2 linked regions of the Neurospora crassa OR74A genome follow. The protein of the gene in region 1 purifies or fractionates together with the protein of each later gene. This does not show direct contact. Links are inferred from orthologs where the notes say so. Each region holds a gene or a part of one and is shown on either strand. Other genes may lie near its edges. The genes, in order: NCU03838 and NCU11012.

Region 1 (9,224 bases):
CACGGGAGGGGTTACTACTGCTCGATCAATATGTACTGCCATCGGCAACGCTAAAGAAGAATGTCGAACTCAAAATCCTAGCATACAAGCTGCTAGCTTCATTCTATCACATTATCGTCTTGTTTCACAACACTCCACCTGTTACAACGATAGGAACCAACACCCCGGAAGGCCAGTCAACAAGCAGTGTAGCGAATGCCAGCGACAAGGGAAAAAGGGTAGCAAAAGGCAATGACACATACGATCACGGTGCTTCAAGGTCGATATCTGAGGGGGGGCCCGTTGGTCCACCCCCAGGTTTTGGTCCGCAATCACCAACAGCCTTCCTCATGAAGCCCGGGGACTACCTACCACTGGCCCAGCAATGCTTCAAGGAAGCTATCCAGCTCGCGGAACAGCACCTTTGGGGATCACATTCGCTACGGCTTTCGGTCAAGACAGAATACGCAGCCTTCCTATACGAATGCGTTCACGATGCCGAGGCTAGCCGAAGACTCGCAAAGGAAACCATCTCGGAGGTGTATGAGGCGACGGAAGGCATCGACAACGACATGTTTAACGATGCGTGTGAGCTCGTCACAGTCCTCGGGAAAATGATGAAGCGCGGTTTGGGGTCGAATAATACTCTACGAAGCAAGGGTCACGGAACATCGAATTCTGGCTCGCAGGGAACACCCAGGATCGAGCAAATAGAAGCCCAGGCACCAGTCACAGCTCCGCCAGGGATGATATGAGCGAGAGAACTCGGCATTGGTTACTTTCCACCCTGTCGGCAGCGCTCTGGAAGGAGGACCCAAGTCCAGATGTCAGAGAGAAAGCCGTTGAGGATGCTCATCACCACTGGAGCCAGGCACGATCAAGCACCGTGCCATCGCAGGGATATGCCAACAGACTGAACCTTCCAGAAACCTGGCTCAATGCGTCAGTCACCGAGCAGCACGAACAACTTCGAATCCCGGATGCCGATCTTGCATTATGACATCATCGCCTATATACTACTATGCAGTACGTATATCAGCCTTTTGTTGTTATCCATGCCGATTAATACGCTTTATTTGGACCCACGGCATTCTATATTACACGGGACATATAACCATCGTCCGAGAATCAGAAACCATGCCATTTTCAACATGAGAGTTTGAGCGCAACTTCTCTTCTATCTGGCGGTTTTTGGAGTTACAGAGCGATCGCCTTTGGTCTTCATACGACATCAATATGTCATTTCACTTACGGTACAATCATGTTCTGGTTTTTCTTGTATATACTCATTGCCTTCTTTTGTTTTTGTCAATTTGATACCCAAACGCGTCCGTTTCGACCGATGGTGTCTTTTTTTGTGGCTTTTTTGCGTTTGATGTCTTTTTGCTTTTGGGTGAATGCGGGAAATCTCGGTTTGATGGGGTGGCTGTTGTTTTTGGATACTCATCATATGTCAGCTGTAGTTTGCTGTCAACATAACTGTAACTGTGTAAATACTGCTGAAAGATCGTCGACAGTTGATGGATCCGTTACAAGAAATGAAGAAGCGTGGTCGTAAGAAGGTACGAATGTGCGAGGAAACTCAGTCATTGTAACCGAGAGAGTGAACGATAAGCATAGCACCAATTGATAACCAGAAATACCTTTGCATAAAGGTGAAAGTGGGGATCGCGATCCTGGTCAACCGGAGTGTCCGAGAGAAAACCAATAAAAAAAGAGGAAAAAAGAAAAAAGACGTCGTCGAAGAGTACAGAAAAGTGTAAACCTCGAGCAAGCCGGGCATATACTCTATCACAGCGCAGACCAAGTCCGTTGTATGGCAGACCTCTCCGTAAGCGGCCGAAACACAATTTCCGAGGCACAGTGTCATCCGTAGCATCAAAAATACCCCGTTGGGAATCAGATTCCTTTGTGTAAACAAAGCGAAAAGGGGTGATCCTCGACCAAATGGGAAGCATGTCTGGGTTAGGGTTGTTGGTTGATCGCTTCAAATGCTTGGCATTCGGCATGTAACATTTGTGTGGCGGCTGGCAATCGGGGCCTACACTCGAACCTTTACCCGTTGCAGAACATCAACTTTCCAACAACAACGCAAGGTGGTCGAAGAGCGAAACACCACGATTTTTGCTCCAAGTCATCCAACACTACTCACTCACCATCTCCGTCACATAGTTAATCTTGACCCAACGCAACTTCCAAACCGTCATCCGCCGCATCGTCCTGTACTGTACCGAGCGACACCCTCCGAAAACAAAACACATACAACCAATCACCTCCCCCACCCGCCCCGACTCGCGCGCAGCGGAGTCCGTAATTACCCATTCACGATGCCCAAAGCAGAAGTCGGCTCCGCCAAATATCTGGCCAACAAGATGAAATCCCGCGGCCTCAACCGGCTGCGCTGGTACTGCCAACTGTGCGAGAAATCCTGCCGCGACGAGAACGGGTACAAGATGCACTGCCAGTCGCCCTCGCACACGGCCAAAGCGCTCGAGGCGGGCGCCAACTTCAAGGGCGTGCAAGACACCTTTTCCGACCAGTTCCTCAAGGATTTCATCGCGCAGCTGAAGACCAGCCATGGCGAGAAGGAGATCCACATCAATAAATTTTACCAGGAGGTGATTGCGCGCAAGGACCACGTGCATCTCAACGCGACCAAGTGGCATTCCCTCACAGAGTTTGCAAAGTTTTTGGGCAGGGAAGGGTTGTGTAGGGTGGAGGAGAAGGAGGGGGAGGGGTTGTTTGTGGCGTGGATTGATGATTCTCCCGAGGCGATGGAGAGGAGGGAGAAGGTCAGGAGGAAGGAGATGATGGATAAGGGGGATGAGGAGAGGGAGCAAAGGGCTTTGAGGGAGCAAATTAAGAGAGCGCAAAAGGATGCCGAGGCGAGGGGGGTTAGCTTTGATGCGGAGGAGGAGGAGAGGAAGGAGTTGAAGAGGAGGGAGGGGGAGAAGATTAAGTTGAGTTTTGGAAAATCGGCCACAACAAAGAAAGAGGAGCCCGGGTCGGGGTCGGGTGAGGGTGAGAAGGGTTCGACATCGGCGGCGGCAATGCCAACACCGGGTGCTGGGGACGGATCGGTTCCTCCTGCTGCGGAGGAGAAGAAGGATACCGTGACGCCACCTTCGACAATAACGAAGACGACGACGGACGGTGTAAGCTCTGAGCAAGCAAAGGTGGAAGCAAGTTCAAAGGGCGAAGAGGCCACTGCCAAGACGACGGCAGAGGAAAGCAAACCCGCGGTTGACTCGACTGCTGGTCCTGCTGGTCCTGCTGCTGCCGCTGCTCCCGCCACGAAGCCGGTATCTATGAAGTTCGGCATGAAGCCCCAACCGAAGAACGTCTTCAAGAATGCGTTTGCTGGGGCTCCCAAGAAGGTTATGGCTGCTCCGCCCAAGAAGATGAGCGAGGCCGAGAGGATAATGAAGGAGGAGTTGGAGCGCAAGAGGGCTCGCGAGGAGAAGGGTGGGAACTTTCCCAACAAGAAGCCACGCTTCCAGTTTTAACATACTGTGGAGTCTCACGTGGGTAACTGGTCAAAGGTTATGCTATCTCCGGGTTTGGCAATATTTCGGTACATGTTATAGGGGCGTTTTCGGCGTGATGGGAAATGTTTAAAAAAAAGATACCATATTGCATTGGGGTTTTCGTAAAAGGGATCCGTAGCTGGATGAATAATCTTCCATATAGGTTAGGTAGTGATAAACTCATTTGTATGATTGTTGTATTTCGCTGCAGTGTGTAATTATAGCCCTGGGTTGATCATGCAAAACCCAAAAAATGGCCACTATCCTGCTGTCTAGACCACGCCCTTTAAACCAGCCTTAACGCCTTGAACTCCTGTTGCCTTCCCTTTAACAGGCATTCCGCATTCCGCTCCTGGGTTGTCTGTGAACGATCTATTATCGGTCCCTCTTCCTTCTTGCTTGTCGGTTCTCTTTCCTGCTTTCTTATCCGCCCTATTCCGTCTTGTTTTCTTGCACCGCAGCTTCGAGTTTCTAGTCCGCTTCCGTCGCACTGCCATCGCGCCTGCTCCAAGTTAGTTTCTGGCTGTGCCCCGAAAACCCCACGATCATAGCCTGCTTCGCCAGACCACACGAGTGTAAGCAGGAAACTTACGGGATATACTGAATGCCGTCATCCTCCAACGTGGTGCGCACGTCATCCGGCAACTGGCCCGACACCTTGGTCGCGTATACACCCTTCACATAACCGTCCAGCCTCTGCCACTTCGCCACCCACGACTTCTGCGGGTTGGCAATGGTGATGATTCCTTCAAAGACTTGCGACGTGCAGCTGTCGATCTGATCCGGCGAGCCCTGGAGATGGAGGAAGTCTTCGCAGTTGGGGCATCCTTCGTCACGGAAGCGCTATGACAAAAACAAAAAAGGTCAGAAACTTGTCGGTCATAGAGTGACTAGAAACGAGGAAGGGCAGCTCGACTTACAGCATAGGTCATGACGATAGAGCAGACCATGCAGGCACGAAGGTAGCGCTGCTGGCCGGGGGCAACGTAGTTCTCCGACATTTTTGGGAGATGTGTAGGGATGGCGATGTTACTGGTAACTTTGGGGGCGGAAACCGATAACTCACTCGTCTACGAATAGCTGAGCGAGTGAATGAATAACTGGAAAAGGACACTTGACGAAGGAGGGTGATGTTCTTTAGAGGAATGCATGTGAACATCGATAAGTTGTTCTCTGGAAAGAAGATCGGCCGCCTCTCTTGCCTGCCGCGTCGCGCCAGCGCAAGCTCCAGGTCTCACAGCGGGCCAGGAGTTGACATGCAAGGGGCGCACGGTCCAGGAGCTAGAGAAGCAGGAGAGAATGTGGGAAAGGTGGGGGCCGAAGTGGAAGCTGGGGCCGATGCCTGGAGGTGGACAGTGGAGACACTGCCGTGCAGTTGGGCTGGGCGCCGTCTCACACTCATCCACAGTTCAACTCTGTTCGCCGAGTCCGGGGCGTTGCATCCGAGTTCCATTCAGTTGCCAGTGGTCGCCCGCTTCTTATCGAGCAACCAGGTGGATGGCAGCTGTGCTTTTTGGCCCAAGGGAGGACAGTCAACTGCTGCAGTGATACTCTGATAACTGAACTGAGCTCTCTACCTACCCGTCATTCTCTCGACTTCCACTTCTTCCACTTGTTTCGCGCATCCTCGATTCGACACGACTCGAATCATCACATCTTCCAGTTTGCTGCGATATTGCCTGCTCCAACTCTATTACGACACGACACCTGACAACGTCGTTCGAATTCCCAAAAACCACACAACCACAGCCACGACCAGCGCTGGCGTAGCATGCAAAGCCCCTCGACTGTCAAACCACCTTCTATCCGAACTCGGCCAATTACCCCGGAGAGTGGAAGATGAATTGATTGCACCCGGTGGACGCATTGTTGAACAGGTGTAGCAGTAACAGCAGCAGACCGCGGTAGCAGCGAACCACCTGTGACGACCCCGTTCGACCGACCCGACCACCACGGCGACCCCATCCCGTCATCAGCGCCAGCGATCGAGCTAGGGAAAATGGGGAACAACCCCTCCACCTCCAGAGACTCCAAGACCCCGAATCCGCAATCCTCCTCCTCCTCCTCTCAATCGCAGTCTCAGCACCAGTCGCTGGCTTCCATCCAAAATGACTCTGCCAGAGCAGTGAAGCGCGATACCAAGCACCCTATACCGGTCCCAAATCAGCGAGTCGCTGCCCCTCCTGAGCCCTCCTTGACCCAGGCCCAGGGCACCGCCGTCCAGCCGCCCTCAACCACCGCTCGTCCCAAGTCGCTGCACTCGCGAATGCCACCTTCTCAGAGCGGCTCGCCGGGCTCGTCGGTGCCTACCAGCTCTGCCACCCCCACCAAACCTGTCGAAGTAAGACAGCTGAGACCCGAAGACAGTCATGAGCCCGCGAAACCTGTAGCCGTGCCCACACCCTGCCACGCCTCGTCGTGCTCACCTAGGTCGCCGGTGCGATCACCGCTATCAGAGAGATCGGATGCCTTTGAGACTGCGGCTATGCAGCTGAGCAGTCTGCAAGATGTCTCGTACCTGACCAGGCCGCCGCGACTACCTCTGCCGATCGAGGAAGAGGTCCACACACCCGGATCGCCTATCATTGCCCCGACCGACATTGGGGTCCCACTCGAGGATGCCGACACTTTCACCGCGCTCACCAGACGCTCTTCCAACTTGAGTAACAGCTCAACTCTGGACGAAGAAGACACGGAGGAGCTACGGGTGGACAAGACTAGACCGACTGTCCCCACCAGGCTCGAATGGCTCCGTGGCGGCGAGAAGGTTTACGTGACAGGCACCATCTTCCAATGGAACAGGAAGACACGATTACACCCGGTGTAAGTACTTTCTACATCCCGGCCACTTTCGCTCTCAATACGGATGGGGCCTTGCTGACACCGCTACTCGCCAACAGTGAGGGCCGACCGGGTGTATTCGCTGCTATTATCAATATCCTGCCGGGCACACATCACGTTCGCTTTCTGGTTGACGGGCAAATGCAGACCTCGCCAGACTTGCCGACCACGGTAGACTTTGGCAACAACCTGGTCAACTACATCGAGGTCAGCCCTGATGATGTGGGGCGCACCGCTGCCCAGGCAGCTGCTGCAAGCGCCGCCAAGGATTCCCAGCAACCTACGGAGCCCAAAACCTCCGCGTCCGAGACGGAGGAAAGCAAGGCACCTAGGGACCGACCTGTCCCTCCGGCGGAGCTGTTCGAGAACAAGATCCCGCAATATCTACTCGACTTCGACGCACCCGAGGAAAGTCCACCTTACCTGAGTGCTGTCAACGCCATCGAGAAACTCCCAACGCCGCCTGCGCTTCCTGGCTTCCTCGGCAAGCCCATCCTCAACGCGGCCACCTTGATCAAGGATGACAACAGCGTTCTGAACATGCCCAACCATACCGTTCTTAACCATCTAGCTACTAGCAGTATTAAGAATAATATTCTGGCTGTGTCGGCCACGACGAGATACAAGAACAAGGTTCGTCTCCCCGTATTTCGTAGCTGCATCTTTTTGCACGTAGTCGTTGATGCTAACGGACTGTACAGTATGTGACGACAATCATGTACAAGCCAACAACGACAGAGGGCATCTGAGTTTGGAATGCTAGTAGTCAGAGCTGGGTACAGTTGGCTGGTGGCTACCACTACTAGACGAACAGCGCAAGTCATGAGTAGAATAGCGGTGCATGATGAACCGCCCAGTATGACCTATTCTAGATATGTCTACAAGTAATGTCTATAGGACGCTGTAGCGATGACGAGGACACTTTATGGAAGCGGGCGCAAATTGTTGTCGGCAAACTGTCCATGGGCATCCTGCTCCATTAAGGGGGCACTAAGGGACAACAAGAGGCGCATATAGAGTGGCTGCCGTGGATAGAGTAAAGGTTATGGGATTTGGGGGTATCGTCGTAATGGTCATCTTCGTCTTCGTTTCCTTCCTTGTCATTAGTCCCTCCACTTGACGAAGACTTCGTCGGTTCTGAAGCGTTGTGTACATGTGCTTTCATCAAGCGGCGTCCGGAAGCCCGTCTCGTAGGCCAATAGACCAGCATGAGCAATCATGATGCCGTTGTCGATGCAGAACCGCTCGTCGGTGGCGTAGACACTTCCGCCTCGCTCCGCTGCCATCGCGCCCATCATCTCCTGTAGCCGCTCGTTGCAACCGACACCGCCAACAATAAGAACCTGGTTGCTACCGACGTGCGCCATAGCCCGCTCGGTGATCTCGACAAGCATGGCAAATACCGTTTCCTGCAAGCTGAAGCACAGATCTGCGGGTGTAAACGGTTCGCCGTCGGGGCCCGGCTCGCCCGCCTTCATCTGCGCCGCCAAGTCATCTGCCCGCCCCAGGATTCCGCTGAACGAGCAATCCATTCCCTTGACCGCATACGGCAAGTCCAACAAGACTCGCCCACCTTGCTTGGCCAGCTGCTCAATATTGTACCCGGGCGCCGGGTCGTTGCTGATCTCCAGCGTGCGCGCGAACCGGTCCAGGCAATTACCCACTGCAATATCCAGCGTCTCGCCAAAGATACGGTACCGCTGCTCCGCGTACGCAATCACCTGCGTATTACCCCCGCTCACGTACAGCACCACCGGGTTCGACGCCCCCGTTATCGCCCGCCCCATCTCGATATGCCCGACACAGTGGTTCACGCCCACCAATTCTTTACCCCACAGCAGCGCGAGTGTGCGGGCGCCCACGGCCACCGACGTTAGGGGCCCGCCCATCCCGGGCCCCTTGGTGTAGCAGATGCAGTCGATTTCCGAGATGGAGACCCCCGACAAGGCGAGCGCCTTCTTGGCTACACGCACAAAGTAGGCACGGTGGTGTCGGGCTGTGTCCTTGGGAAGGAAACCGGTGCCGGGAGGAGAGACGAAGGTGTCGCGCACGTTGGACAGGACAAGGGCTTCGCCGGTGATGGGGTCGTGCGCAATGATGCCGATGCCGAGCTTGTTGGCGGAGCCTTCGCATCCGAGAGCGATGCGGCGGCCTTTGGCGTCGGGCATTGTTGGCTGTTGGGGCTTTGTTGGATAGAGCGAGGGAGGGAGAGGGTTTCGGTTACTTGGTGAATCGGGAGCCGGTTGCTTCGTATCAGATAACTCGCAAGGATATTTCGTTGGGGATGTTTATCGAGGACCTTGATATCCTTTGGTTGTTGATAGGCGTCGCGTCGCGTACTGAATAGGATGGATGGATGGATGTTGTCAGTGCCACATCCAATGCCAGATGTCAGATGGAGAAAGTGATAATGGAGGGGCACCTTTTTAGAGTGGGGAAAATTTCGTCGCGTCTGTGAATACCTAGGCTAGGCGCGCCGTAGTGATCAAGGTGACGAAACTCGAGATCGAGATGAAAGAGGATGTACATACTTATTCCCCCAGCGGGCCGGTATCCCGTCTCCTAAAACCGGTCGACATGTTCACTACTTGTAACGATGCTTTAAAGCCATTCTCGCCCGTTGTTCTTCTCAAAACAAGGGAACGGCCTCGCCATGGGAATCAGCAATGGGATTTCGTCAGAGCCTTCCATGGAGTCGATGAGGGGTTCAATGAAATGTGGGTCCCCGCAGCCGCTTGTGCACAGTCGAGTGGGACCTTTATGTTGCTTTGGATGCGCAATGCAATGTTATGTAAGGCAGGCACGTAGCGTGGCTCGTGCGCTAGTAGTAGCAACGATTTCTATCCACATATAGCCGCAACGGCGCAAACTGTGACC
Region 2 (9,321 bases), on another chromosome or scaffold:
GATCAGATCACGTCCCGTCCCGTCTTCCCCTGCTCCCGCTCTCAGCTGAAGTGAAGCCGGAAGGTGATTATTACCTGAAAGGACCATGAATGACATCTAGGGCCCCAAATGCAGAAAAGGGAACAATTTACACATTGAGATTACGTGCCGGAATCCACGACAATTAAACATCGCCCCCCTGTGAGGTGACAGTGTGATGGCCTACGCCATGGGCTTACACTGAGTTCAACACGAGGACTTCATTATACATATATCGGAACAACGCTTCATTTCCAGCAACCTCGGACCTGTTTCCTCAGCCTAGTCACTTAGCCATTGTCTTACTACAACGCCATGGCGTTGAAGTCTCCCTCCTACACGTTGAAAACTCAGTGAGCACCAGTCCCTTCGACTCTTCTCTTCAGCTTGCTACCCTCATATATTGTGATGGGGTACTCAATTGTTTGATGGCCCATCATCCAAGTCCCCATACCACTAAAGCTGCAGGTAGGTACCTTGACAGGAAAAGTATGTAGTAGGGTTTTGCCGAGAGCAAGAAATTGGATATCACTGTTCTTTCGATATTTGGGTCCGAAAGGCTTCGGTGACCGGATGTCCAGCGTGATGTGGCGTCGTTGTGTTTATTCCAGACTGGACGTCAGTGAGCTCAATACACCATCTGCTTCTGAGCAATTTGTAGAATGTATACCGCATTGACTTCTTCGCACCATGACCGCTTCAGTGCCATGGTTCTCATATAAGACAACCTGCTTCTTGCTGCTCAGCATCTGAACTTCTTCCCCCGGCAGCACTCCAACCATCCCAAGGGATTCTCACGGTATTCAAATCGTCACCACCATGGCTTCGCTCACCCTTCGAGCTGCAGCGCTAGCAGCCATCGCCCTAGTCCACGTTGGTGTCCGTGCAACAACCATCGAACTCCCTCCCTGCCTTGACCCCTTCCAGCCTTTCATCTACTCCGGCTGCTACGCCGACACCGGCAACCCTCACGCCCTCAGCCTGCGCAGCCAGCTCAACCAGCAGGACATGACCATCGAGAAATGCGTCTCTGTCTGCAAGGGTAATGGCTTTCGTTACGCAGGTCTAGAGTACTACGGCGTGTGCTACTGCGGCAACACCGTCAGCGGCCAGCAGATTGACGAGGAGCAATGCAACTACCCTTGCACCGGCAACTCCTCGCAGGTCTGTGGAGGCACTGATATCATATCCGTCTACCAGGATCCCACTTTCTTGCCGGTTGATGAGGTCACGGTTGCGGATTATGACCATTTGGGATGTTGGACTGATGATTCCGAGTACGGAAGGGCGTTGGCTTATCCCCAGGATCAGCTTGAAGGGTCTACCTTGACGACGGAGAAGTGCTTGCAAGCTTGTCGGGATGGGGGGTATCCGTTTGCCGGGACTGAGTTTGGCGGTAAGTAGCAACTTGTTACTTGATGTGGTGTGAATGAGAGCACTGGATGCTGACTTCCTAACCCACCCCTAGGCGAGTGTTGGTGCGGTGTTGTCATAGGCAACGGAACCTTCTCCGCCCCTGATAGCGAGTGCGATATCCCTTGCAACGGAAACTCCACGCAGATTTGCGGCGGACGTGCTCGTCTCAACCTCTACGTCGCCAACGAGCTTCAGTCACTCGAACCTTGTGGTTACGTGCCTCCCCCAGAAAGTAGTAGCAGCTCTTCCGTCACAGCATCCTCATCAACAACTCCAGTTGCTTCTTCGCAATCTACCTCCGACATAACCAGCTCGACGGCGACGACTTCTGACGTACCCTCTTCGACTACTACTTCTTATGTCCTCAGCTCAACCACCACCACTTCCACCACTTCCATCACTTCCACCACCCTAGCCACCACCCTAGCCACCACCACTTCGCCACCCCCTACCACTACCTTAACAACCACGTCCACCACCACCACCACCACCTCCTCCTCCTCCATCTGCAAAGAAACAGTCACTCTCCCGCCCACCTGCGAGTACAAGTGCGGCAAATGGTGTTCCTCCCCTTTGCCGGACTGGGACTCCCCCCAATCCTGCTTCCCCAGCCACGCCAACTGCTTCCTCCAAGTATCCGCCTGTTTCAAGCAAGCCGGATGGCCGGGGGCGCTCGACTGCTTCGGTTTTGCCGAGTGGTGCTCGGCCCTGAGCACCTACTGCAAGGGATCAAGCAAACCGGGGGGCATCTGCTCCAAGAAGGATTTCTGGAATCACAAGCCGCCTTCGTCGCCCTCCCTTACCGGACCTGGTGTTCCGACAACGACGGTGATTACGGTTCCTTGTCTCCCTGTTAGCACTGGCAAGCCGACATCTACTTCCGTTCCAACGTCCACCAAAGCGGCCACATTCACAACCAGCACCACCACCACCGGCACCAAATGCCCAATCCCAACATCCACCTCCCTCTGCAACCCCCCCAAAAGCAACAAACCCCCCGTAGGCGGGATCCCTCTCCCCGTAGTAACCTGCAACGACCTTCTCTCCTCTTTCTCGTCCGGTCACCCCTTCAAGCTGTACACGGACTCGGACTCGAGCAAGTGCAAGTCATACGCTCGCTCGTCGTTCTCGACAGCCTGTCTGGATGCGTGCCAGGAGCAGTACGATGATTGTGTGGATGTGTACGCCAAGGGGTGCAAGGAAGGAAAGTACGGCAAGGATGATTCGACCTCGTACGCGGGGGCGGTGCTGAAGTGTAAGGAGCAGTATGCGGATTGTACGTTGGCGAATTGGGGGAAGAATGCGGGAGCGAAGTGTAAGGTTTGGGGGACGGGGCCTTGGTGAGGTGCTGACTGCTGAGCCGTGTGTGGTGCTGGGACGCAGAAGGAAAGGAAGGGAAGCTTGGGAGAACTGGTGTTCATAAGGATGTTGCTGGACATGCGTGGTGATAGGGATGGCGGTAAGCTTGACACGAACGCTGTTCTTCGATTCTCAAGTAGGTAATTTTGTATGAGTGTTATACTCTATTCCTTTTCTGTATAATTGACATACTAATTGATCTGAATATTCGCTATCAAATAGCGACAGGAAATCTAAGCAGATATCAGCATGAAAAGTGCGGCGTAAACAAGGCTCTTGATACCTCATATGCCCAGGCCTGTTGAACAATAGCACGAACGTACAGGACAATGACTGATCAGACGCACGTGAATTTTTGAATGGGCCCTTTATTCAACTCGAGGAGCACATTGTGCTCTTGTTGTTGCCCTTTGGATCGAGTCCAACCGTCCCAAAATGATCAAATATGATGTATAAAACTTCAACCTGAACGCCCTCGCTAATGCAATTTTGTGTATTTTCTGACCAAAGACTGGGTCGCCCCTATTACCCCTGACGGGTCTTGTAGGTTTCCGTTTACTGCAGGAGCTCCTCGCAGGTCCAGTCCTCGTAGCTACGTAGGGATGTTAGCGGGTATTCGGCTAGGTGCCGGGAAAAGGACAACTTACTATCCATCAGGCATGTAACGACGGACAATCAGAGGAATCTTCTTCTCGCGCAGCTCCTTGATGGCGATTTGAAGAGGATCCGTCTCACCCTCGAGATCAACCAGCACTGGCGCGTTCATGCTACAAAGGTGGTTCCTTGTCAGCCCAAATCCGTCCCTACAGTCGTCCAAGCGCCACCGATGAGGAAACCCACCTGATTTGCAGAGCACGTGTGCCGAGGATACGAGCTTTCTCGTACTTGGTCATGTAAGGTGTCGTGGAACGCTGGTCGTTGGGAATCTTCTTGTCCTTGTGGGATTTCTCGTTGCCCTTGCCAGCGTTGGCGGCCGCGTTAGGGTCACCCGAAGTGACTATGTTGTTATCGTTTTCGGCCTCGTCGACTTCGTCGCCGGGTCTGCCCGCTACGTCGTCGTCCGCGGGCTCGGGTTCGGGCTCGTAGTACTCATCCGGGTCCTCATCGAAGGCGGGCTCGTCGCTGGCGGCTACGTGTTAGCATCTCTTGCGTTACGCATGAGTTGCGGTATCATGTGTAGAGGTTGATGCCAAGGACTAGGTGGGTAGGTGGCGTTGGAAACCTACATAGGCTCGCGATCATCGTCACCGTGGTCACCGTAGTCGGACATTTTTGGTGGGTTTGTTTAGGAGTTGATTGATGGTAAGGATAATAAGATATGGGCTGCAGCTGCACAAGTAGAGGTAGGTATGTGGACAAAATGGTATTGCCCAAAACGCGTGGATGTGGAAGACTGGACGTGTTTGGCCGACCGTGGATGCGCAAGGTGGTGAGGGAAGGGCGAAGGGCTGACAAAAGGACGACAGAAAATTCGAGTGGGGCCGCTACTTTATGCAAGGCTGAGCCGTGCCAAGACATAAAACCTTAAAGAGACATGGGGGGTAAGAAGTGATGATGTCTCATTCGTCCAAAGTAGTCTAAAGAGTAGAAGAGGGGAGGGATCTGAGAAGCCCCCACCTAGCTAACTTAAATAGGCTAAGAATGCCCAATGCACGTGACACCAGAGAAGTGGGTCACAGGGGTGGGGCCAATGGATGGGCCATCAGCTTCTTCATGGGTTCCCTTCCTCCAGGTCCCCCGAATTTCACTCGCTCGTAAAATTGCCTGCCGGTGCTGGAACCGGAAAACGTCAGATAAACTTTTTGAAGCGGCAGGGACACCCACCCCGGACGAAAAGTCCAATCGGCAGGTGCAATGCAAAGGTTCCGTCACAAATGTGAACCTCCAAAAAAAAAATCCATCCAAGCGAATTTCCCAAAAAGCGTGGAGCTCCCTCTCTCCAATGTCGAAGCTCCAACCAAGTCCAGGGTAGCAGGCCACGGCGACCAGTGCTGCTACTCCAGGCCTCAAAATGAAGCGGAAACAGGACGACGAGCGCCTTGATGGCCATGACGGCCCCGACCATGCTCAAGTCCAATCCAAGAAAAGAGCTACTGATTGGGTCCAGCAGCAGCAGGAGGAGGAACTCTCACAAGTAGAGCAGCTCGAGGCACCGGCCCTACCCTCGCAATCGCGATCGCCACCTGCTGGCGCAGAGGCGGCAGCTTCTGATGGCAACGGCAACGACAGCCTCGAACTCGACCCTGACTCGGCCTCTGTTGCCTCGGTTGCCAACACCTCCCTTACCCACGCCGATCCGACGACTACGGTAGCAGCAACTAGTATCAACACTACCACGACTCGTGCTTCACGCCGCTTCCCCTCCGATCTCAAGACCATCAGGTGCACATTCGCCGGTTGCACCAAGACCTTCAACCGCCCTGCTCGTCTGGCTGCCCACCTCCGATCTCACACAAACGATCGCCCGTTCAAGTGCCCCTACGATGACTGCGACAAAGACTACCTCGAAGAGAAGCACCTCTCCCAGCACATCAAGGGATCTCATACCAACGATCGAAAGTACACATGCCCCGAGCCCGGTTGCGGAAAGTCCTTTGTCACTAATACACGACTTCGCCGCCATGCTCTGGTTCACGAGGGCGCCGATCGCTACCGCTGCCGCGGCTATGGGGACTGTGTCCAGAGCTTCCGCAAGCACCAAACGCTCCAGAGACACATCCGAACCGTTCATCTAGGCAAGTCGGCATATCCATGCGGTAACGACGGGTGTGACGCCGGCTTCGACACTGCAAGTGCCTTGCGAAGGCACGTAGAGCGCGAGCACGGTGACCTGAAGTTTTGGTGCGACGAATGCAACGCTGAAGGAGAGGGTGATGACAGTGGAGGTCGCCGTGTTGGATTTACCACGATGCTGCTGCTTCAAGCCCATATGAAGAAGGAGCACAACAACTGCGCCTTCTGCGGTGTCAGATGCGGTACACAAAGCAACATGATGCGTCACGTTGAGCTCTACCACTCAGCCAAGACAGTCGAAGATCGAAAGACGATTGCTTGCACGTGGGAGGGCTGTGACAAAAAGTTCACGCGTGTCTCCAATCTCAACACGCACATCAAGTCTGCCCATGAAGGCCATCGTTTCGTCTGCGGACAGACCGATACTTACGATGCCAAGGTTTCGGAGATTGCGGACTGGAACTTCGCGGAAGAGGGTTGTGGCCAGGGATTTACCACCAGGGTCAAGCTGGAGGAGCATGTTCTTCATGTTCATCTTGGGAAGAAGCGTCCACCCAAGCTGTATCCCGTCCCTTCCATGGTCGCCCAGGCTCAGCAAGCTCAACAGGCTTTGCTGGACACTCGTGACCTTGCTTGCCCTGCGTACGGATGCACCGCTCGCTTCATCCGTCATGCTGATCTGGATAGACATATCCAAAATGACCATGGCAACAATGGTATCAAAGAAGAGGAGCAACAGTTGCTGCTCCTACCTCAATTGCATACAGGCGAGGAACAGGCAGCTATGGTACCATTTCCGAGTGCTGCCAACTTGAGCGTTGACGACTTAGGATATGTCATCGATCCTAGTCTAGAACCCCAGCATCAGCAAGGAGATGTCCACTCCGCATTCACCTCAGCTGGCGCTACCCCTCCCCCTCAAATGGAGCAATTCACGAATGCTCCAGTTAGCGATGGCGGAAATCTCGGCGCTGCGCCTTTCTGGCTTAGTGATCATGGAGATCCGTTCTCACTGCAACACCAGTCGCCTGTCTTTGAAGACTGGGCTGCCGACATGCAGCTGTTGATGGGCCAAGATGGTGAGGGTTCGGACCCGCAGTTTGCTAGAGCATAGATGATGCAGTAATACGGGTTCATGGTTCACAATGGGGGAATTGTCGACTGTATGATGTTGCATTGCTGAAAACAAAACGGAAAAAAGATGGGAAGGTTCACGGAAATATTGATACCCTTTTGTTATGTGGCTTTGACAGTATGTAGACCGCGTGGAGGAATGGAGATGGCTTACTTGTACGGTTACGGCGTTTGGACGGAGTAGACATATAATACCGGTTGTGGTTAACTCACCGTGCTCTCAGCAAGACTCCCTTGTTCGCTATCATTCACGAACATATAGTAGTCTTATCGTAATATTCTTTTCTTGTCCCTTTGGATGTTTCTCTCACCCTATGATTTCCTTCTTCATGTGTCATTCCAGGACTACCGCCACACTTGATTTCCCGACACATACACTGCCCGGAAGAAAAGTTCTCAGCATTATGTGATCAAGCACCACCCCCATTGACTTTGTGCAGCATGGCTAACAAAAGCAAATATATCAAAAGCAAAATTTGTCTCCTCCACAATCTCTATCCTATCTCACGCGCGTATAATTGCCCTTGCTCTGCTCCATCCTAAGACTCTCCTCCTGACTAGGCAACGGCGCGCGTCTCCTCCCTGACGAATCATACTGATCATTCCCACCATCGGGGTGAGTGGCTCCTCCCGGCGGACCACCAGCACCAGGAATCAGCGGCGGAGGCGCAAACCCAGGAGGGGGCATAGGGAAGCCCGCCGCGCCCGGCGGGGGGATTAGGCCAGGGGGCAGGATGCCGGGAGGGGGCATCGGTGCGCCAGCCGAGCCTGGCGGCGGCGGCGGTTGATAACCGGCCTTCTTCATCATTTCAGCGAGCGCGCTAAAGTCGGGCGGGTTCTTCAGATCTAAACCCGGAAGGGGCGGCGGGACGACACCGGCAGGCAGACCGGGCATGCCGGGGATAGGGAAGGGGAGAGGAGGCGGGACACCGGTGGCACCGCCGACGCCGGGGATGATGGGTGGTGGCGGTATAAAACCGCTGCCGCCAGGGCCAGAGCTGGGAACCTGCTGGAGAGGAAGGCCGGGAATGCTGGGGAAGGAAAGACCAGGCATCATTCCGCCGCCGCCAACGCCGGGCTGCCCCTTGATGGGCATCTTTTGATCCACCAGGCCGTCCATCTCGTCCTCCAGCTCCTGCTCCTCCTCGACTTGCCGCATGTGACGGCCGCCGCGGCGATCCCAGGTGCCTTGAGCTTCGGCTGCTGCCTCGCCGATGTGATACCGGTCGTTGAAGGACTCGGGAGCCTCGCCAGGTCTTGCGCGAGACCAGAAACGTGTGATGCGATCGTTGGATCCCGAGGCGAGGATGTGGCCGAGCGGGTGCCAGTCGAGCGACCAGATGGCGAAGTCGTGGGCATAGGGGATCTTGTGGGCTGGGTAGATGGGTTGGGCAGGTGCGGACGAAGGATCGGCGGTGTCGTAAACTGCCGGGATCGGCATGACTGAGCCGTCGGGCGCGGTGTTCGGCTCGTCCAAGAGGTAGTGGAATAGCGAGCCGTCCGAGCCGCCGGTGCTTAGGAGGTTGGAGTGGACTGGGTGCCACGTCAATGTCGATATGTCCTTTTCGTGGCCCCTGAGGAGGGCGATGTCTCGCATCATTCGAAGGTCGAACACGCGAGCTGTCTGATCTCTAGCTGATGTTGCCAAACAGTTTCCCTGTACTCTCTCGAAGAGCGTTTTGGTGATGGTGTTTTTGTGCCCATGAAGCGTGGTCAGGCATCTACCCGTCCTTGGATCCCACAGCTTGACCAGATGATCTTTCGAACCAGAGACAATCAGGCCTCTGCTGGGATGCCAATCGCAACTCTTTGCGTCCCATCCGTGCCCTGTCAGAGTCATGTCCGTTGAGCCGCCAGCAAAGTCAAAGACTTTGAGTGTCTGATCATCTGAAGCCGTGACAAATTTGGTGTCGTTGGGGCTGAAGGCAAGGTCGCGGATGGGATCAGTATGGCCCCTAATGCTCTCGACATTGTTGAAGTTTGGCTGCCAATATTTGATGATACCGTCATGATCGGCTGAGACGAGCCAGTCGTCGCTGTGCGAATATACTAGAGCACGAATGGCGGAATCGTGGGCTTGCATGATCGTTTCGAAATTGAATCCTGTGCCGTTCCAGAGCGTAAACTCTCCACTGCTACTGGCCGTTAACAGCCTTCGTCCTTCTGGCGTCCATCGTACCACATTGATGGGGTGTTTGATTTTGTTGAGGGAAGAGTGAAGATGCCTTGATGGTACGGAGTCTGCTGGATTGGTGACTCGGGCGTATGGTGGTAACATCTGTACCAAGTTTTAGTATCAATGCGGCGGGTTGATGGCTTGCATTTGTCCTTACATCAACAATGTAACTCGGGCTGGGCCTTTCAACTTCACCAGCATACGATCCCCGGTATCTCGGTTGCCTGTGGCGCATGTAGTGAACTACTGAAGCACCATAGTCGGTGACGGGGCCTGAGTCTAGGGTCAGTCTTCGTTGTCCATCGGCGAGTGAAAAACAGGTGCTATTGAGTTGGGTGAAGAAAAGAATCCCACAGAACAGCCAGAGATGGTGATGTGAGATGATGGCGGTGCTAAGCAGGAACGGGTGAACGAGAAGTGAGGATAAAGTGAGGAGGGCGAGTGTCAACGTGATCGATTGTATTGTCGTCGGTGATGTCCAGGCC

The links.
Region 2: the proteins of NCU03838 (region 1) and NCU11012 purify together in Saccharomyces cerevisiae (affinity purification with mass spectrometry, with the first as the bait; 3 studies listed by BioGRID). This does not show direct contact. The link is inferred for Neurospora crassa OR74A from reciprocal best matches to the Saccharomyces cerevisiae genes SPT4 and RPO26.

What each region holds. Positions count from the first base shown.
Region 1 is NC_026505.1:2,568,842-2,578,065, reverse strand, and holds NCU03838 (transcription elongation factor spt-4), read right to left. Parts: upstream 4,851-9,224; 5' UTR 4,508-4,850; coding exon 4,427-4,507; intron 4,350-4,426; coding exon 4,099-4,349; intron 4,009-4,098; coding exon 3,978-4,008; 3' UTR 3,658-3,977; downstream 1-3,657. Other genes in the region: NCU03840 (hypothetical protein), read left to right, coding at 1-734; NCU03839 (APF1), read left to right, coding at 2,307-3,485; NCU03837 (Snf1 kinase complex beta-subunit Gal83), read left to right, coding at 5,506-6,329, 6,407-6,980, 7,049-7,096; NCU03836 (O-sialoglycoprotein endopeptidase, variant), read right to left, coding at 7,451-8,515; NCU03835 (hypothetical protein), read right to left, coding at 9,188-9,224.
Region 2 is NC_026503.1:2,362,215-2,371,535, reverse strand, and holds NCU11012 (DNA-directed RNA polymerase I), read right to left. Parts: upstream 4,367-9,321; 5' UTR 4,064-4,366; coding exon 4,020-4,063; intron 3,916-4,019; coding exon 3,634-3,915; intron 3,561-3,633; coding exon 3,441-3,560; intron 3,386-3,440; coding exon 3,349-3,385; 3' UTR 2,818-3,348; downstream 1-2,817. Other genes in the region: NCU00039 (hypothetical protein), read left to right, coding at 838-1,414, 1,487-2,778; NCU00038 (C2H2 transcription factor), read left to right, coding at 4,805-6,168, 6,294-6,348; NCU00037 (polyadenylation factor subunit 2), read right to left, coding at 7,160-8,938, 8,994-9,109, 9,191-9,321. UniProt on the Saccharomyces cerevisiae protein: DNA-dependent RNA polymerases catalyze the transcription of DNA into RNA using the four ribonucleoside triphosphates as substrates.